4 linked regions of the Saccharomyces cerevisiae S288C genome follow. Changing the gene in region 4 together with the main gene of any one other region gives a genetic interaction. Each region holds a gene or a part of one and is shown on either strand. Other genes may lie near its edges.

Region 1 (6,564 bases), on a different chromosome or scaffold from region 4:
CATATCAAGAAAGGCTTATGAACTTAGAAAAGTTCAAACGAGAAAAGAACAGTATTCTTCTCTGTACAGAGGTTCTCTCAAGAGGTTTAAATGTTCCCGAAGTGTCGTTGGTTATTATCTATAACGCCGTCAAAACTTTCGCGCAATATGTTCATACTACTGGAAGAACTGCCAGAGGTAGTCGCTCCGGTACTGCTATTACTCTTCTATTGCATGATGAACTGTCAGGTGCTTATATCTTGAGCAAGGCAATGCGCGATGAAGAAATAAAAGCTTTAGACCCTCTGCAAGCAAAAGAACTTCAGGAAATGAGTGCCAAGTTTGAATCCGGTATGAAAAAGGGTAAGTTTAGGTTGTCGAAAGGGTTCGGCGGCAAAGGACTGGAAAATATCAAAAGTAAAAGAGAGGAAGCTCAAAATAAAGATTTGGAGCTCAAAAAGAATGATAAGAGGAGCGATGACTTGGAAAAGAAAATCAGCAATCCACGCGAAGGGCATGACAGTGTGTCTGAGTCTTCTGCGCTTATTCCGAGACTCAATTATGAACTATTCAAAGAGTCTACAGACGGGTCGATCATCTTTTACGCCAAGGTTTATATTAATGATTTACCCCAGATTGTAAGATGGGAGGCTACAAAGAATACAACCTTATTATTTATCAAGCATGAAACCGGATGTAGTATTACTAACAAGGGTAAATTTTACCCTGAAGGGAAGGAACCAAAGAATGAAAACGATGAGCCTAAACTATACTTATTGATCGAAGGCCAAGATGAGAAAGACATACAATTAAGTATAGAATTGCTGGAGCAAAAAGTTAAAGAGGGGGTCGTAAAGGCTGCAAGCTTGTCTTTGAAGAGTACTAAATACTAGTTTTTAGAATTTAACTCACTCGTGGTGCTATATACTTTCGTAGTTAGTTCTGAAATTTTTAGGGTGGTAATTTAAAGCATATTCAATCATAATAAAAAAAAAAAAAGAGAATTATTAGGAAAAATAAAAACAAAATAATATATAATATATGATGTAGAAAAAAATCTTGAAATTTTTATCGATTCGAATAAAATGGAATTTAAAAAAGTGGGAAAGAAACAATGAGAATTCATAGGATATAATGAAAGGTAAATGCTTTAAAAAAAAATTAAGAGGGGAAAATAAAAGTAGAAAAGCAAATAAAAACAAAACATGGAATAAAAGTAACTTCAAAAAAATTTATCAAGAAAATGGTAGGCTTGAAGAATATAATAATAGTTTTTTAGTTGATTTGAGATGTGATATGACAAATAAAAAATAATGAAATAACGATAAAAATAAGGAAGGGAAAAACTGACAATCGAATAATAATATTAATAATGGTAAGTTTATCACATCAATTCATAGGGAATATAAATTTGAAATTGTTACTCTTCTTTCTTTTTTTGTTCTGTAGAGAAAGAAGGTGAAAAGTGAAGGATATTAACTTTAAACACACGTTGGCTTCAAATTATGTAATTCAGGAATAGGAATATCGTTAACGATTAAAGTTTGGAATTGGTTCAAAACTTCTTGCAAAACGGAATATTTGACAGCGGTCCCTGTTGTTAATCTGGCTAGTTGTCTGGAATCACGGCAATATGGAGAGTAACGTTTAACAATTTTCAAATACAAAACCATTCTGCCGTCAACTGGTATGGAAGAAGAAGCAGCCTCCGCAGCAAATTCATCAAATGCACCAGAAGCAGTTGCTGCTTGCAATGCTGGATGAGAGTAGAAGTCCATTGGATTTTGAGGATTGTTGAACAAATGCTCTGGTGCTGGAGTATCCATTGGAGTTAAGGATGGCGAAGGAGTTGCGGTTCTGCTTATTTGAGTGCTGTTCATGTTACTTTTCTTGGAATCTCTATCATTTTGGGTCCATGTTACAGTAGCATCTCTTAAGGCCGCCCAATCTGCGTTGGCAATAAATCTTTGACCAATTTCATCTGATTTGCGGATTAAATCCATCCATCTTTGGAGAATTTCTGCATTCGAAGCATCATCGACAGATCCCATAGACTTTAATAAGATTCTATAAGCGACTATTGTTTTTGGAATGTGGTACGCCTCGTAACTCTTATCGATGTATTCTAAAATACTGCGGTCATGCCAGACAGTGCATTTAGCCAAGATAATGTTAAAGAAAGGTTCATCTATATGCTTGATGTTGTTGTAAGTTTGAATAATATTTTGTAAAGTTTGAAAACCTTGCATCTTGTCCACAGCATAATTTTCAAAAAAAATGTCGAAAAAAGTGTCATTCAAAGATGAAGAAATACCGTGGTTGACGTTTCTACCATAATGTAAAGAAGACTTGTACCAGATTTGATAGATGTGGTTGAAATCACGGGTTTGGCTCCATATGTTTCTTAAAAAGGATTTCACGTAGGAAACTTGCAAGTCTATCTTGTATGGCATTTCATCATTTAAAGCCTTGTCAAAAAAGGTTTGAGCCACATTCAAGTCTTTACATTCACCAATGAAGGAAAGATGGGTTTCTATCAAATAACCGTATTTCATTTCGGTTGATTCTTGGCATAATTTTTGGAATAATTTGAGAGCCATGTCATTTTCACTAGCAGATAAAGAGGCTCTGATCATCCCAACTGAAAGATTTGGATGGAAGTAATTAATCATCGATGAAGACTTTTCATATAGAGCTTGAATTTCTGGATAAGAGACACCATTGTCGTATAAGATGGGTAATATAACACCGACAACTCTTGGATTCAGAAAAATATTAGATGTGTAGGTATTTTGCCCATTGATTGCAGCTTTCCATATGTCGACAGCTTCCTCAAACAACAAAAGCTCCTTAAACGCAGTTATCAAATGCATAGCACCGTATTCGTTCAGTTCGACCTTGCCGTTTAGAACGTCTTCGGAGATCTCTCTCAAAGATTTGCAAAGATAGTTTGTCATTTCTTTGTGAAAGGATTGAGAGTCGTAATCAGGTTTCTTGTTCATTCTCGTCAACTGATTTCTATTAGCTCTCAACCCATTGTGAAGTAAATGTACAAGCTTGGAGACACGATCAGAATTTAATTCCGGTGTAGTGAGTAGATCATGATACAGCCCCATTGCTCTACCTATAGAATCCCAAAATAATGGATTAGCGTTAGAATTTGGATGTTCTGAATGGTGTTTCATGTTTTGACGCCTTGGAGTTTGTGACATATAAAGAGTCTGTGAAACGCAATCTTCGAAGGCACAAACCTTATGAAACCATGGGGAGTCTGGGCTAATTGAATTACCTTGATTGGAGTTATTATACTTGCTATGATTATGGTTATTTTGATGATGGTTACGATTGTTATTGTGGTGATGATTACGGTTATTGTTATGATGGTTGTTACTATTATTGCTGTTATTCTGAGCTAGATGATTGTTGTTGTTGGCTCCAATGTTGCCACCAAAGTGAGGAACAAAATGGTTGGCTGGGCTTACCTGATAAGTAGCGAGGGCTGGATTGTTAAAAGTAGCAGGCGTGTAAGGAATGGCATAGTTGTGTTCATGGTGCTCCATAGCGATTGTACCGTTAAATTTCATTGGATGAGTCAGCGAATTCTTTGTCGGATGTGGAACAAACTGGTTTGGGGGTTTGCCCTTCAGTACTTGTGTTTGCTGAGCTAAACGGATCATAGGATCAGATTTGCAAGATAGAAAAGCAATTAGAGTAAGAAATATCAAGCTAATCACACGTTTTTAAAACCTCGATCCAACTATAGAACGTACTGTATTCAAGAAAAAAAACTGAGAGAAGAATGAAAGGAAAAGGGTTTCTATAGATATAACCAATGCGATATGTAACTTCAGTGCTGAACGACAAAGTTTCTTTATTGCCTTATTTTGACTTTCTTCGAGATGTCCATGGCATAACTTGAGCAAGGTTGAAAAAATTTTCTTTTCTTTTTTTCTCCGAAAGAAACCCGTTTCTTTTGGTGCACACACAAAGCTCGTGCAGAGTGCTGTCCTCTGAGAAATTACCGCAGAATCAGAGGATCTATGAAATTGCCTCTCTTGTACGAGCAGTTCACTGCAGGCACTCGTCCCTTCACACGGAAAAACAATATGGGAAAAGTTGCCTGAAAGTTTAAGCTTTTTTACATATTATCAAGGCAAGAAAAGAAGAGAAATTTTTCGAGAAAATGAACAACGAAGCAAACAATATGAAGAGGACTGCTGCTATTTTTCCAGTTAGGTACCATGTGGCATGCTGTTTTTCCGCAGTTCGTTATGTAAGGTGGAAGGCGGTGGTGTGTGAGACATGCCCTGTGAGACATTGGAAACTCATGCGTACAGAAAGTGAAACTAGCTCAATTGGTTGAGTTTTTTGATGGTATACGCCTGATGTTTTTTTCGACAACAGGTGAGTGAAATAAAACGAAGAGCAAAAAAAGAAGAAGAAATTTAAGAAAAAAAAAAAAAAAAAGGGAAGAAAAACGGAGCTACCCAATATCGGAAGATTCGTAAAGGCCGCCATATACACAATAGGGGCCCTTCGTTATATGTGCTCGAGCCTCTGGATATCGACCAGAATGAGCAGACGCCTACGAAACTGGTCAAGGCTTCAAGTAAAATTGCTGGAATCTGTTAACACTTTTAAAAGAACACAGTTCTTGACTTACTTTTGGTCTATGCATAGGTATTATATAATACGAGGTAGTAAAATGAGAAAAAAAGAAAAAAAAAGTCAATTGAGTATGGGCATGAAGTTACCCAAGATCATGAGGGGCAAACCAGAGACATCTCTTTTTAATGTCCACATACAGCAACAATGAATTATCTTGCCCTTGATGGGGCTTAAGAGCCTGCAAACTTTCATCTTCTCAGATCCTCTGAAGTCCCTATATGCAACTTTAGAGAGCGTTTTGAAGTAATCGCGTACACTTTCATCGTCCATGATCTCTACGATAAAAGTCATCTTGTTTAGTAGCTCCTCTCTTGTCCATCCGCATAGAATTTCAAATTCCTCGTTGACATAAGAAATTTGACCATTTCTTCGCCAAATACATGTCGGGGTACCGATTTGTGCAATAAATTTTACATATTCTAATAGAGTTCTTTGGTAGCATTGCTCCATAAAAATCATGTCCTCCTCGGTTAAAGTTACAGAACACGCAATGAAAATGGGCCGGAATTCGGCAATGGACCGACACATCTTCACCAGATCCTGCTGGTTGAATCGATGCTTTAGGTACACCAAAAGATGGTGGAATCCAGGTGTATGCGAAAAGGGGGCATTTATGGAGGTGTATATTTCCATTGGAGTAGAATAACGTAATGAATGTTCCCATTCTACATTGCTCTTGATGTTGGCAGCGTCTGGTGAACAGCTTTCCAGGGATACAGAGACCAAATGGTTTTTCCTCCGCTTTAAGGGGATAGCCAACTCGGGAAATGTTACCGTTTCGCTGTTCAAGTAATATTGGTTTATGCTTGAGTCCCAATTAATTTGGGAGCTCTTTTCAGATGGGTCCCGTGGCAATAATCTTTTAAAGTTTAAGGAATTATCAGCTGAATCAACGGGCACTAAGGGGAAATGGTTCGCGAAAAGATTAACTTGCGAAGCTACAATCTTGGCTGAATTTGGTCCCAGTAGAATAGAATAAACGTTTTGATTGGAAGATGGATACGGATGTGGGGGTATGTTTGCTCGCTGTTCGCTGTACAACTGGCGAATTTTCTCCATTTCTGTTTCTTCAGGGCTTGTATTTGTGCCCGTAGGGCTATTGTTACTGCTATTGCCTATTGTGGAGTTGGATGTGGAATTGGTGTTGGAGTACAGGATGTCAATAGGGATCTTGTTAGACAATGTGTCTTGATAGATGATATTCGACAGAATAGAGTACTCGGAATCTGCAGCATTCGATAGGAATTTAGCTTTGTGAACTATATGTTGTGGGCTGGTGAATTTTTGCTGTTCTCCCATGTTATTTACGTTGAGGCTACTATTGCTGGAGTTGTTATAAATGGGTATCATGATCTTGCGGGGTGGAAGGTCCGGTTGTATGTTCATTGGGAGCTCTCTATTCGGTATTCCAGCCAAGTACTTGCTTTTCTTTCTTGGAGCGTCAACGCATGTAGCCGTGAGGCCCTTGCTGATACATCGTAAGCATGGCCTTTTGGCCTCACATGACACATGCAATCTCGAACAGTTCACGCATGCCACGTTTGTGTTTTTTCTCTTTTTTCTCTTCTTTTTTTCGAGAGTATGATTTGTATTTGCAGATGTATCTGGGTCAGTTGATGTTTTGTAATCGTTTTCATCTGGAGTGCACATCACGATGATTCATCAATGTATTTTATTTTTATACCTTCGTGTGTCTGTTGTACCCAAAAGAAATGATAAAAATAGCTCAAGAGTATCCTGACTTTATATAACTAGCAATTTTATCTAAGAGAGTAATGCCGTTGCACCGGCTCTTGTTTAGTTTTTTTATGTGGTTACTCTTTTACAATATACTAAAATTGCAACTCATTTGCTTTTTTCATTTCTTTTCCTTCAATTTTTTTTTTTTTTTAGTCTACGGCTAACAAAAAGCATAGG
Region 2 (4,924 bases), on a different chromosome or scaffold from region 4:
ACCATGAGTTAATTTGTATATCTCGTCATGAATAGCAGATGAATGGGAAGCGCACCAGTCAGTTAACGCCCTCAATAAAACAACGCGATCCATTGGTTTGAGCGCCAAAATTCCATTCTTGTCCATTTCTCGATTATACAAAGGATTTGATTCCAATGGGAGTGGTTCATTAGCATTCCAGGTATATATATTTGGCGTTAAAATTTCTGGATGACTGGGATCCACCACTGGTGTTTGTTCATCTTGTTCAAAAAGAGCAGTTTTAGGTTTGGAGATATCTTGGTCACTGGGGAGTTGTTGACGCCATTCTCGTGGATACCCCCATTCGCGAGCTACAAGTCTTAACCGATAAAGAGGATTGGAAAATACTTTCTTGGAGGACGATTTTAGATTCTCCCAGGTTGTTAATGGACCTTTCTTCTTGGCACTTTTACCATCAAAATTTTCAGTAAATGTTAAATCTAACAAGGATAGGAACAGTAAATTCATTTTGTCTTGGCAATAGACGATATCCTTGATGGCCATAAAATCAGGATATAGCAATAAGGAGGTGTCTTCAGGACCCTTCACTATACCAGCTGCGCTTCCATTAGGATCGCCGGGATACAAATCTAAACCGACCTCAAAATCTTGGAATGATAAATTTTGTAGGTCAGAATGGAAAAAAGAACTAAACTTATTTATGAACGCCATCAGCTTAATGATATCTCCAGCATATGGCACAGGCTTCATGTTCGGATTTTTTAACCTAGAGATGACACTATACTGGTTCTTGAAATCAGAAGTAAGCAAGGGTATTACAGAAGTCCAATTGCTAGGGATCAAAGCGGGTTCTACTTGTTCATGGGCTGGTTTAGGTTTCGGCGCCACTTTTTTGTCATTAGTCTTCAGTGTAGGTTTGCCATCCTTAGCAATTGAGGTAGTCTTCTTTTTCTCTACTTTATCATTTGATTTAGAGTTCTGTGTGGAAGGTGCCTTTTTCTTAGGAGGAGCAGGTCTCTTCCTCTTGGGTTTATTCGCCCTTTCCTTTAACTCTTCCTCGTATTCATCATAAATGCTCGTTCTTGGCTTAGGAACACGTCTTGATCTCCTTAAATTATCAGAAGATTGTGAAACACTAACACTTTGATCGGTTTGTAAGGGCATAGCCATTGATACGCGATCATGATCATGGTCAGCAAGCTGTGCGGAAGAGCTGCCCTGGGCTTCTTGCTGCAAATTCTGGATAGAATTGGATGGAGAATCCATAAACAATAGGGGATTGCAAACTTTGCTTGAAGTACTTGGTAAGTGATAGTTTTGTTGGCCGAAACCAATGTGGAAGATATCACCATCTTAAGAAATTAAGTCCATTCATTAGTATAAACTCACGTAATTTCAATGAATTTGTTAAAGTTTCAGCAAATCGTGAAGCACGATATTTCACTTTTATGATCCGAGAGGGAATATTACTAGTACTTCCACGCATAAGGAAAGTCAATGTTAACAAATACCGCCATACCGCCATACCTGTCCTCTGTAGTCACTGCTAATGTTAATGTAAATAAATTACATCTAAAAGTTGTTTTCTCTTCAGTAATTTTAGAAACCGTTAAGAGGAAAAATGGGCACTTCCTTTCTTTGTTTCAGAAATTAAGCTCAAAAAGATGGGCTCGATAAAAGTAGCATACTATTTACTCTATCTTATTTTTATTTTCTATATACTAGTCTATCAGACTCAGACGTCAACGATGTGGAATACGGATGGAATCATTAAATAGTAGCAAGAAGTACTTTATTCTTATTTTTCAAATTGCGGCGCGCCAACAAAACGCGTACAAAAAAAGCAGATTGGATAGTACTTTATTCTTGTTATTTTGTCATTGGAAAGTATAAGCTGGTTGTGGATTACTCTTCACACGATGTGCCTGTTTTTTGTAGGCGGGCTTGTACTTTCTGGGGAGCATGCTGTGTATGTTGTAGGTCTGTGGCAATGTTTGTCGGGAGTGTTCGCTGTTACCATGAGTTGTCTGTGAGTAGTAGCGATTGTAATTGTGGTTGTATCCTACTGGTCTTCTTCGGGAATACCAAGGAATGAAAGAGTTATGAGGAACCTCACTTTGATCCTGGTAATTATTTGGTTGTTGTAGTTGATATTGGCGGGGCTCTGTGAGACAATGATTTTTTTTTGAATATATTTTAAAGCAATCGGCTGATTGGGTAGCCTCAACGCCAAATAACCAAGGAGGGTCGTAGTTATCTTGTGAATGGCTTGAGATTCCCTCATAATATAAAATATTTGCCTTTTTTTTTTCAGTAGGCATTTCCACATTTTCTTGCTTTGCAGGTAAGTCGGTTATATTGATTTCATCCAAAGATAAGGATTTTTGATTTTCAACATGCCTTCTAGAAAATATTTGTTTACCATTCAACTTTGGAGCGAAGAAACTCACCAAACCTGCTTGCTTCAATGGAGATTTGATTTCAGGCGGTGGTTCATCTTGATTTGTTACCGCCAGTTTATCTTGATTGGGATCTAAGGTCCTTGGTAGATCATTAAAAAGACTTGTGATGTCATACACAGATTGGTCTGTGCCCTTAGTTGTTTGTGGATAATTTTCGCCAAGGGAACTTGATGTTTGACTCGTTCCATATAGTTTGAGAATACTGTCTACGTTCTCTATACTAGCTTCTTTAGCTATGTTTTCTGTCTGACTGCGCAGACGTATCAAACCTAAAACTGAGAAAATGCACGCCAATAACGAGCAGAGGGAACAGGGAACAGTTAGCCAGCCACACCAAGTCGTATAAGGATGAAATTGTAACAGGATCACGGTGCATGCAAAGTAACAGGATCACGGTGCATGCAAAAATAGTTGATAAAAGTGTCAATATGTGTAATATAGCGTTGGAAGTAATAAGTGAGACATTAGTTCCTCCAGTCTGAAAAAGAAAAATAATAACCAAGGGAAGTGCAAAAGAAATGAAAGTCAAACATGTAGCAACCGGTATCGAAATCAAAAGTCCTCCTATTGTATGTCTTGCCTTAGGACTCAGCCACCAACGTTCAAGAGAAGGGCCAGGTAATATTTCTTTCGAGGTGTTATATATTAAACGTACTCGAGAGCAGGAAAAAGAATTCAAAGTTTTACAGTAACCAAAGGTACCATATGAAACTCCAGCAGCTTGAGCCAGCCCCCAGTTTCTAATTATTGGTGAAGTTAAACAACATATCATAAAGCCAGAAAAAGAGATTAATTGTAGGAAAGAGGAAAACAATAAAATCAATTTATAATTTAGCATCAATTATTGAATATGGTACCAAAAAAAAAAAATTAGCAAAAAAAGGCAATTTTCTCACCTTCTTGTAATTATTACGCGTAAGGACAGATCATAAAAGTGTATTTCATCCTCAATCATCAATTAAATAATTTATTTATTAACATTCATATATATTTATATTTTCGTTTGCAATTTCGCAATTTTAATATGTCACAAAAAAAGCGCCCACAGAATTATCAAGAAGACCAACCAAATCAATAATAAAATTCGGCAAATAACATTATTAGATTTTTCATGAGATTTAAGAAATACTTGTTCTGTTGTTTAACTGATGGTTTATTACTTATATTTAAATATTGAAAGCTGCAAGATTTAAAAAAATATCTCCCGGGGGCGAGTCGAACGCCCGATCTCAAGATTTCGTAGTGGTAAATTACAGTCTTGCGCCTTAAACCAACTTGGCTACCGAGAGTCGTTTTTGTTGTAAAAAACTACGAATATTCGTGGTATGTCGCATATATATATATTTCTTCTTCCAATGAGACGCAGAGGAAAAAACAAGTGAGGAGGAACATTTCAAAGAGATTGCTAATCAAAAAAAAATTCAAGAACAAAAACAAGGTGGTATATCGACTAATACAGAGTCAATCATGGGTTCAAACACTTCCAAAGTGGGTGCTGGTGCAGAAAAACAACAAGTCTATACTCCGCTAACACAGATCGATTTTTCACAGTCTTTGGTTTCTCAATTGGATTCATCGAAGGAATCAGACTATGTCACCAAGCAAAATGCAGAAAAGTTCATTGAGAAGAAGGTTTCACAAAGGCTATCTAACCTAGAAGTTGAAACGTTAAAGAAGTTTGAAGATACTTTGAACAATTCACTATTATCAGACGACGACAAGGATGCCGTTGATGGAATATCATCAAGTTCATTGAATAATCAAATCGAGTCGTTGAACAAGAAACTAACATTATTTGATCAATTAGAGTTACAAAAGTTGGAGAAATATGGGGGTGCCAAAGGTAAATCTGATAAAAAAACCGACAACGGCAGCATTTCTATAAAGGCAAAATTGACTGAGTGTCTTTTGGCCAATAAGGGCAAGCCATTGAATTGTTACGAAGAGATGGAAGAATTCAAGAAGCTCGTTATGGGTTGAATAAGAAAAAGTATACATAAACTCGACCAAAAAGAATTCGCCATTTCATGTATATAAAATGCATTTTTATCGATTGGCGGATGAACGTAAAAGGGAGAGAAATATTTTTATGTGTATGTAAAAAAATGTATATGTATATTCCGAAAAAACTATTAATTTTGAAAAAATGAAAAATGGACTTACAGACCAAATCCTTTATACATTAAGATCAGTGCACTATCACTTTCGCCCCCACCGGCTAAAGATTCAATTTTTTCCTTTTCAACAACGCTAACTTTATCATCATTAAATTTGTACCATTTATTTTCGTCCAGTTCGTCCCTTATGAAAGCTTGATAGTGTCCAGACTCAGAATTGGCACCTTGATGTGTAATGACACCGATCAAGTTATAAACACAAGATGGGTTTTCACCTTTTTCCAAGTTTGGAGGAAAATGTTTCTTATACTCTTCGAGCCATTGATCTTTTTCACTTTCGTTAAGAGCCACTTGTGTCTCATA
Region 3 (5,736 bases), on a different chromosome or scaffold from region 4:
CTACTGCATGAAATCACTTAAGTTCGGCCTAGAAAAATTTTTTCATGAACATTATTATATATACAAGGCACTGAGCAGAACAATACACGCTAAGTTTTGTTCTTTCATGAGGTCATAATAAGTTAAATAACAGTCAATACATAAATGCAAAACTAAAAGTACACAGTTTTATTATTTTCTTTTCGTCGTAATGTAGTTTTTATAATCAGTCAACTTTTTTTTTGCTTTTAGATTTCGTTTGTTCCTTTTGTCTTTGGATCCAAAGTTTCTTGAAAATGTAGCCAAAACAATGCCAGCAGGAATATCGAAAAAGATGGGTATAATATAAGTAAAAAAAAAATTTTAACAATGAAATAATACAGGAGAATTCGTGGTTTACAATTTCTGGTTTTTTTCGAAATTGCTATGTGGCTTCTCCAACAATGTAATTGTAGGCTTTTCTTTCTTTTAAGTCCGTTTATCGTATACAGAAAAAGTGCAGGATGTTGTAAGTAAAGGTAGTCAGTCATACCATCATGACAAAATCCACCTCTTGGCAAACATATCTAAAATAGCTCTATAATGGCCGATGACACCCAACACTACGAAGAAATGCCAAAAAGTGTGCGAACAACCAAAATAGTCAACCCACCATAGAGATTTAAATGATTTGGCATGAGACGGACAGGAACTGCATTTGGAATGGGCTGTTGGCACCTCTCTAAAATGAATTTCCCTTTGCTTTGTGATGATTTCTAAATCAGTAGATAATTCGTAGTTTGTTGGAATGGTCTTATCAACCTGAACGTCAGATCTGAACCGTTCAGGAATGAACGAACCGTAAAATACCACACCAACCAAATACCAAACAACAGATTTGTATGTGACGGGGCTAAATAGCGTTGCAGCATAATGAAGATCAGTCAAAAATATCAAATGTAAAAACGACAATACACCCATAGTAGCCAGCAAAATGAAGAATCTAATTCTTAATGGCCTTGCTTCAGGTCTATCAAAGCGAGGCGACCAATTCATAAACACACCAAATACACCCAGCGCCAGAGAAATACTCATGTAAGTGTACATCGCCCAGTAACATGAATACATGGTAACAAACTCCGTTGTCAATATCGAAGCTGTAATTAAGATCGTAATACCGCTATAGTCGACACACGCAAATTTAGAACGTAGCTTCAAGAAGGACGTTCCGTTGAAAGTATGCCAAAACACGGAGCTTAGCATACATTTCAACGCAGCTGCCAAAAACATGAAAACAATCCATCTAGCCTGTGGTGGAACCTGGGAATTCCGCCAAACTTCAGACTGAGGGAAATCGTAAATTGCCAAGTAGATTATATAAATGGCTCCTAACAAATGAGACCAAATATTTGAAGTTTCATTATGCCAGCCGTACCAGTTAAAGATAGACAACAAAGATTTGGAATGGGTATTGTAAAACCTATAGCCATGGATTATGTATCTGTTTTCCCTCCATGGGAATGGCAACTGATAATAATGTAAATGTTGAGTTTCACCTAGACTATACGCTTTGCCATGGTTGTATGAGTTTATAAAAGACTTGATATCGGTAGTAGGATTCAAAGGTTCTTCAATGAGGATTTCCGTCTTTACCATGGATTTTCTCATTGGACCGCAATAGTCTTTCACGCTGGAAATATAATTGTTTTCCTCTTTGATTTTTGTATCATTGAGACGACTTGTTGGGGAACGTAACGAGGACTTCGCTTGAGAACATACAGTTGAAGATGAAGACACCAGTGAAGTGGATGTAGAAGCATTGTTAAGCTTGAAAGTAGCGACTGAATTCACCAAAGTGGCTGCATCTGAATCTCCCAGTGAAAACTGAGATTCTGTATTCAGAGACTTGCCACTGTTTCTTTTGTACACAGAACTTGTTACTTCCTTTTCTTTTGTTGGACGAATTATCTCCAAATCATCATACCGCCCACTTTCAGAGTGTTTAACACTTTCATCAATAGTTGAAAATGGATGAGGAACGAATTTTGAGTAGTTGTAATTATAGATGGATTTACCGGATTTTTTCACCTTCTGAAAATTGTCCACACCCTTCTGCTTTAGCCTTGATAGAGATCCCATGGGTGAGGGTATATACTGAGTTAAGCTTTTGCTTGACGAGTCCATCATGTACTTAATTTGATTGTCTGTTGGGATGTGAACTATTTTTCAGCTTATCTGCGTTGCAGCTTCTTCTTTGTCCACTTTACAATGGCTAAACTTTACCAGACGACAAAACAAGTGTAGAATTTGAATCAACTGTGTCCTAAAGAAAAAATAATGTCCAAAAACTCTTATTATAAAACGAGTAAACCACCACTTCGCTCGAATCGCCAAGCTTTCTAGATGTACACCCACGCTGTGTCACCTTATGACTATATACCTTATCCATCAACACTTTCTCCATTTCCTGCAGGGTAAAAAGAAAAGTGAAGTCACCCTGCACTATACGAGCTTCAGCCCATACCCCACACTAAAACATTTCTTTTTCTGCGGCATTTCTTTTTTTTTCGGTCCGTCCCTGTCCCTTCCCACGAGAAAGCGTAATGATCCTCGACCCTACCCCACTTCCCCACGCCAATTAAAACAGATAAAATTTCTTTTGATTTTTCGGATACGCTAATTTCGTAGCAATTTTGAATGACTAGACATTTGTTGGATAACTACATAGTCTCCCACCCACCAAGATCTGCACTGCCGTCCGTTAGTCGGAACACTATGTGCGGAATCATGTTGCCAAAAACAATCTCATTCGCTAGATTCGCGTATCTCGCCCGATTCAAATAGACGGGAGTACCGAATTTGTAGTCTTCGTTGGTCTCTCCGTATTTACTTAGATAAGGTGCAGCATAAAATGTACCTCTTTTGCCGTATGACAGATATATCGCATTTGTGCCGGTCATTAAGAAAACTCCGTAAGCGGAGGTGATTTCGCATCCATTTCTCATATGATCAGTACATTCCCCCTGTAAATAACCTTGCAGTGCTATGCTTTTTTGAATATGGCATTTTTGGCCACACAACAAGCATACTGCGATTTCGTATTTATCACATTTATTCGATATTTCATCATTATCAAGGGAAAATTTGGAAAGGTTCAATGGTAGTTCGATAAGCTGGATATGCTCTGGTGAAGGATATGCTCTTGTGTTTATGTTCTGCACCATGTCATATATTACTTGCTGAATTCTCAAATTATCATTACCATCATTATACCTTTCTATATTTTGTGTTAGTTCGTTGTAGAAAAAATCCTTCAAAAAGTGAGTTAAATTGGGTAATTTAAAATACCGGAAAATAAGCTCTATTTCACGCTGTTTGACGTCCATGAAATTATTGCTGCGGTTATTATTATTATCACCATCACCATCATCATCATACTGAATGTTGAATAATAAGAAGGTTCTTCTACAAAAAATGGACAATGACTCTAGTAATAGAGAGCATATAAAGTCTTTAATTTTCTCTAAACTTGTAAAATCAAACCGAACGTCGTCTGGTTTAAAGAGATCAACATACTTTTTAAAAGTATTGAATAGATATGAAAAGCTTGTCGATGGTTCCTCAGATCCGTTTGATGATATTTTGATTTTATTTCGACAGTCTTTGTAAAAGTTTACTCTCATCATATCTCTTGCAAGCAACAGTAGTAGTTGATGGAACCTTCTTTTGAACATTTCATAGATACATAGGTTAGGCGGTTGCGGGGTTTTTCCTCCATCAATATTATCAAAATTTTGACTCATATACAAAAGTAGATTCACATTATTACCCTTTATTAGAAACTCATTCCAATTCCATATTTTACGAGAGATTTCGCTGCTGAATGTTTTTGAATTAACAAATTTTTTGTAAATAAACGACTTTAGCTCACAAACTAAATGTAAGGTTAAAATGCACTGACTGGATATTCTTTCCATATTCACTATTTTTCCTTCCTTTTTGTGCGATCTTAATCTGAGCTCAGTATTTGAAATAGTATTAATAAAAACACTATTAACAACTTTATATGCATCTTCGATAGTCGTGACTTTTTTACCCTGAAGATCACCTAGAATCATCGCTGCTTTAATACAAATAGAGCTCATTGGGTCAAGGTTTTCTTCCGCTTCACTTCGCTTTTCAATACACATAAAAAACTGGCTCGAAGTTCTCTTATCTATATCATTTGTTTTTGGTAGAAATGAATTACTTAAGGAATTGCATACGGGACAATATATCAACCCTGAACCATACGATAATGGAATATTTTTTGTAGTTTGGTTTTGTATTCCGCGAATCGACTTCATATGGCCACTTAAACATTTGGTATGAGACCCATGCCCGCATGCTCTTAATACTGGTTCACAGCTAGTAAATTTCAATCTCGTTCCATCATCATCCTGGGGGTTTTCTTGGATTGCACTGTCTTTTGTTTGCTTACCACTGAACAGCGAATTTATTCTATTAACATCTGTAGGATTCGTAAAATCAATTCCATGATCACATATGTTCCGTTCTTGGTATGAAAAATAAACAAATACATCGTCATCCTTCGGCATCTTGCAAAATACGCAATCATCATCGCAGCAACTGTTGATTGTGTTACTACTATTCTCTGCATTTATTCTAGTGGGAGATAAACTAGGTGATGTGGTTCTGGGTGTACTAATATCGGAAGTATCTACACTATTGTTTTCCATGAATTTCATTTGCTGTTGAGCCAACTTCTTCATTAATTTTTTCTTTCTCAATCGAGCAAGATGTTTTTTCCTTTCAAATTCTTTATCCTTGTGGCTTTTATCTTCCTTTGTAGGCCACAATATTCCTGGTGTATATGACGTGGTTTGCTCCCTCAAATAACTGTTTACATTTACGTGAGGCGCTGTTTCCATTAAATACCTGAAAATTTCCCTAATCTTACCATGAGATTCCGAAAAATTATCCTTCAACAAACAGTAATACAGGATAGAACCAATGCTGTGGTAATGACAGAATTCTGTGTCCACAATTGCGTATTCATGCCACAGTATCCCCATAAATTCATTCAGATTATTAACCACGCATAAATGAATCAAATGAACCACTCTCGGCAATAAATTGTCATAATCATATTTTATAATGTGATCTAAAGTATTTTTCAAAAATAAACCAAAAGTATTCACTGATGATATTGAATACAGCCCAGAAAATAATGTATTCTTCAACAAATCTTTAACCTTTTTTGCTGGTACAAAAGTATCTTCATATTTCATTTTCTTCAAATTTGCCATATTCAGCCTGATATTTTTCTCTACATCATACCTCCTACTGGAAGACAACCCTATATAATAAGGATCAATCTCATCTTTATACTTTTCTTTCAACACGAAAATGCCATTGTCAGTCAAGCTTACAGGAGAAGTGTAATTGGCGTATTTTTCGAGATATATATCAAATGAAGGGTGCTTGGTGATATGTTCTGGAATACAGTTAACAATTTGTGCGTAAGAGCATGTATCAAAGCAAAGGGCATGAATTATTTCTGATTTGAACGTTCTCTCGAAGCCTTCCTTTGATGATTTCATGACCAATGATCTCACTTCAGTAAGCAATTGAATCAATAACAGAATGCATTCATTAACAACGGCTACAGTTGTTTCTGTATCAGGATAATCATACATAGGTACACCATTTGCCCAGTGCTTCAAACCCCACCTTGAGAGGTAAGTAACCATCAGTTCATCAGGATTGCACATTGCC
Region 4 (4,226 bases):
TCCAGCTGCCACCGCTTAGAGTCAGGAAAAAGACGATGGATATATATATAATAGTCGTATTTAAGATATAACAGATAAAAAAATAATACATTCACCACGCTTGTTAAAAAGCATGCCGTATATTTCCCATAAATTGAACCATATTCTTAATAGTCTAAAGATATCTTGGTCTTCTTTGCAGGTATATTATGTGAGATTTCATCCGAGTGCGAGTGTGAATGTGACTGTTCCGAGGCAGCTGAACCTTCAGCATCATCCACGGGTATGCCCCATTGTTCTATTTCAAACTTTTTTCTGCCATTCTTAAATGCCCATTCAGACTTTAAAACTCTCATCTCTCCACGGTCCGTGAAAACTGGTAATTTCAATATGTGGACTAGCCCATGTTGAATCTTCCCCGGTTGCGATTTATAAACACGTTCTAAGAACTCAGTCATCTCCTGGTTAAAGGGTTCTAGATTGATAACAGAATCGAACATGTTTCTCAGCAATACCAGTAATGGGGGAGTGATAATGTCTATGGATATGGAAGCAAACAGTACAACCCGCTCATAGTATTTCTTGACAAGACTCCTCACACCGTGCATTAAACCTATTATTTCAGATGATTCAAACATTTTGGGCGGATACATTGCCGGATGTAGAAGGGAAGGAATAACAATTCTTATCAGTTTCTTGTCATTCCTTTTAATAGTCTGTTCTATTTGGCTCAAAATAGTGGAGACAGGTTGAGTTGGGGCGATAAATGTCAGTTCAGATGCTATGGGAGCGGGCATCAGACGCGTTGTAATATCAAACTGATGATTGTAGTCCTTGTACTCAGAATTTTGTTGGATGTCATCTCGATCCGGAGAACCCAATCTCTTTTCATCTGCCAGTTTATATTTCCATGCAATTTTCAGGTCTTTGTACCTGGAAGGCGTCGATCTCTGGGTCTCGTTCAAATTTTGAACAGTAACTTTTGATTCTTCTTCAGAGATTAGGTTTTTCTTCATTTGTTTACGTGATCCCTTGTAGATACCAGGTAGCTCCTTTGCAAACATTTGGTTCAATGACAAGACAATGACATGAGTGTCGCCGTTTCTAGTTTTATCAGCACTGCTATCTGAAATTCTATTATGAACGATACCCTGTGCGGCAAACAGTTTACCGAGAATAGAGTGAAATTCTGTCGTGCTCTGCTCCTCTACTAGTACAGAGTTTCCCAGCGGCAGCCCCATATGGCCTAGTATACTGTCCAGGTCAGCACTCCCAGTTGATGTCGTCGGCTGAGAGGTTGCAGGAGAAGGTCTAACGCCCACATGGGAGCTATCCAGCCCCATTTTTGTCTTGGATTCGTCCGCAATATTCAACTTCTTTAATCTCGCTGTAGTGTCAGACAAGGGCACATTTCCAGGGGCTCTTCTGTTGCCTGTCCTCAATGGCGTTGAGGAAGTTCGTGGAGGACCTCTTAACAGTGGACCTCTTAGCCCGCTACCTCTATCGTTCAGTATTTCACCTCTTTTACGAAATGACATGGTACATGCGATATTTGGGAGCCGAATTTGTTATACAATGTTGTTCTCTGCACCTCATCTCTAAACTATCCAGCCTCATCGACATCTTCATATGTCGTTTTTGTTATTTTAACAGTTTAGAGTTCATTCCATGCGCTTTACCCGGTCTGGCGTCAAAAGCCATCAATAACATAGCTACTATTGCGTCTGAGAGAAGTCGACCATAGGGAAGAACTTGCCATCTGGTTTTGAGTTAGTTAGAATTATCACTATTGAAGATAGCCCAGCAAAATGCTTGTGCAAGAAAGCACATCGTCTAGTGGCCTTTTTTGAAGAAAGAATTGGAACTACTTTAGAAATACATTTACCACAGTGAGTATATGACACTGATATTCTCCTTGATTATCGCCCAAAATACATTGTAGGCTTCAAAAAGATTAAAATATCAATTAAAAGAGAGAGAATAAATAGGTTAAGGCCCAAATTACAATAGCGGCCTCCTATTTGTCTTTTCCATTCGATGCGATATTTATCAGTATTATATGAGAACAAATGGTGGTATTATAAAAAAAAAATATTATAATGAGATATATGTCTGATTTTAATAATAAACTTTTTAGCTAATGATTCCTTCTGCGTTCATTTTCTGAATATTATCAACAGCTGCTAGTTTTTTTTTTCCTTTACTGTCGTTAAGCAGTTCCCGAAGACTCACTACTGATGCTTAACAAAAAAAAAAAAACGTAGTTCGAGAATAGCGAGAATATGGTGTGAACAGTAGCACTCCAATTACTGAAGGATTGCATGCCTGCTTGTGTTGCAAATGAATTTTGTTACCTGCCATGTTCAGATGAGGCTTCTTCTCCAAAGGAGACTAGTGCGTTTACGAGAATCAGAGCTGTTTAGACCCCAGACATCATTGTCAACTTTCAAAAGACATGCTTCGCAAAAGACACGCCCTATACAAAAATGCTCGAGAAAATACGCACGTATACTTCTGTTGTCTGTTTTGGTACCTTACACAGGATATGCGTTTTATGTATCATTGGCTACAGTGAAGCAAATTGATTTAAGAAACGAAATGTGTCAAAGATTAGAGGAGAATAATAACGAGGTCACTTATAAGGGATCCTTGCTAAAATATAGCCCTTTGGAAGTTTTAGGCAGATTTGAGAACCCGTTCGAAGAATACAGGATTCAGACCGTTTTTGAATTCTTTGCAAATAGAGTGTTCGAATTATTTGAAAGAAATAGGGGAGGTATTCCACGTGATGTACACCAAATGAATAAGTTAATGCCTGTACACAAGCCAACATGGGGGCCTAACTTAGTGGACGTCGACCCCGCAGAGGAAACGGCATTGCCGCTAGAATGCAAAGTGTTAGACGAATTGCACATACCGACTGCAGTAGAAGAAAATGAAGGATCAAAGTGCCCAGTCTATAACACATGGCTGGGCCAGTCCTGTAACTACACGGTTTATAATGGATTGAGGATACTTACTGATCCTCTGTTCAGTGACTTTCTTATCCACAAGACCCTGGGTCCTAAAAGAATTACTCAAATGCCATCTCAAATTACAGAGGTGCCCAAACCAGATATCATCCTTGTATCCCATAATCACCCCGATCACCTGGATTTAGAAAGCTTGGAATACTGGAGTGGCAAAGACTCTCCCTTATGGATAGTACCTAAAGGAATGAAATCTTATATGACAAGTAACGGCTGTGATAATGTCCTAGAATTATCTTGGTGGGAAACTTTGCAAGTAAAGAAAAACAATGAGATATACCACATATCGGCTACTCCTGCCATGCATTGGTCTGGGAGATCGCTCTTAGATACGAACAAGTCTCTATGGTGCTCCTTTTTATTAACACACCATGGTAATCCCATACTTTTTCATGCTGGTGACACTGGATATGTGAAAGATTTATTCGTTAGAATTAAAGAACGCTTTGGCAAAGGTTGTAAATTAGCGCTGCTTCCATGTGGTCAGTATTGCCCTGAGTGGCACCAAAAACCACGACATATTAATCCTCAAGAGGTTCTCAAGATTATGAAAGATCTAGAAGCTCGAAATGTATTAGGCGTTCATTGGGGGACCTTTGTATTAAGCGGAGAATATTTCTTAGAGCCAAAGGAAAAATTAGAAATGTTGGCCGAGTGGGGTGGGTTTAAAGACCGCTGCTACTGTCCAGAATTGGGCAAGACAGAATGCTTCGACTAACTTAGGCGCTAATATTTAAGCTGCAGCGTCCCTGTAAATAGCGATAAATTACAGTAAACGTAGACTTTGGGAGATTGTACTCACTGAACATTTTATGATTTAATGATTTTGTAATTTAAAAACATTCGTATGATATCCAATAAGATGTTATAAAGAAATTACAATTAATGTTGATAAAAAATCAATTCAAGTAATGGATATCGATTTGTTATTTCATCTCTTCATATACAAGGCAAACAAAATAGGTATAATATTTACAAGAAAAACCTACATACTGCAGCCACACTAAGATTCTCTCACATCTAGGTAACATCAACTTCTGCTCATTTTTTTGAATTACTATACTTGATATTGTAAGGTTCCAGAATGCTTTCAGGTATCACACTTGGACTCTTGACAACCAAATCAGCCCCGGTAATACTTTTTGGGAAGGCGATTACGTCCCTTATACTCTCAGTTTCACAGATCATAGCGCACATACGATCAAAACCAATAGCAAA

What was found.
Region 1: mutations in FMP30 (region 4) and YBR238C together harm fitness more than expected from each alone (negative genetic interaction), as found in Saccharomyces cerevisiae (2 studies listed by BioGRID).
Region 2: mutations in FMP30 (region 4) and MIC19 together harm fitness more than expected from each alone (negative genetic interaction), as found in Saccharomyces cerevisiae (2 studies listed by BioGRID).
Region 3: mutations in FMP30 (region 4) and IZH3 together harm fitness more than expected from each alone (negative genetic interaction), as found in Saccharomyces cerevisiae (2 studies listed by BioGRID).

What each region holds. Positions count from the first base shown.
Region 1 is NC_001134.8:693,647-700,210, forward strand, and holds YBR238C (uncharacterized protein), read right to left. Parts: upstream 3,657-6,564; coding exon 1,461-3,656; downstream 1-1,460. Other genes in the region: DEAD-box RNA helicase PRP5, read left to right, coding at 1-872; ERT1 (Ert1p), read right to left, coding at 4,708-6,297. UniProt on the Saccharomyces cerevisiae protein: May be involved in the processing or stability of mitochondrial mRNAs.
Region 2 is NC_001138.5:166,246-171,169, reverse strand, and holds MIC19 (Mic19p), read left to right. Parts: upstream 1-3,911; coding exon 3,912-4,424; downstream 4,425-4,924. Other genes in the region: IOC3 (Ioc3p), read right to left, coding at 1-1,248; YFR012W-A (uncharacterized protein), read right to left, coding at 1,860-1,946; DCV1 (Dcv1p), read right to left, coding at 2,674-3,282; ubiquitin-specific protease UBP6, read right to left, coding at 4,604-4,924.
Region 3 is NC_001144.5:184,985-190,720, forward strand, and holds IZH3 (Izh3p), read right to left. Parts: upstream 2,146-5,736; coding exon 514-2,145; downstream 1-513. Other genes in the region: putative ubiquitin-protein ligase UBR2, read right to left, coding at 2,679-5,736. UniProt on the Saccharomyces cerevisiae protein: ADIPOR-like receptor involved in zinc metabolism either by altering membrane sterol content or by directly altering cellular zinc levels.
Region 4 is NC_001148.4:357,500-361,725, reverse strand, and holds FMP30 (N-acetylphosphatidylethanolamine-hydrolyzing phospholipase D), read left to right. Parts: upstream 1-2,319; coding exon 2,320-3,726; downstream 3,727-4,226. Other genes in the region: Elongator subunit ELP4, read right to left, coding at 147-1,517; aspartate--tRNA ligase MSD1, read right to left, coding at 4,050-4,226. UniProt on the Saccharomyces cerevisiae protein: Hydrolyzes N-acyl-phosphatidylethanolamines (NAPEs) to produce N-acylethanolamines (NAEs).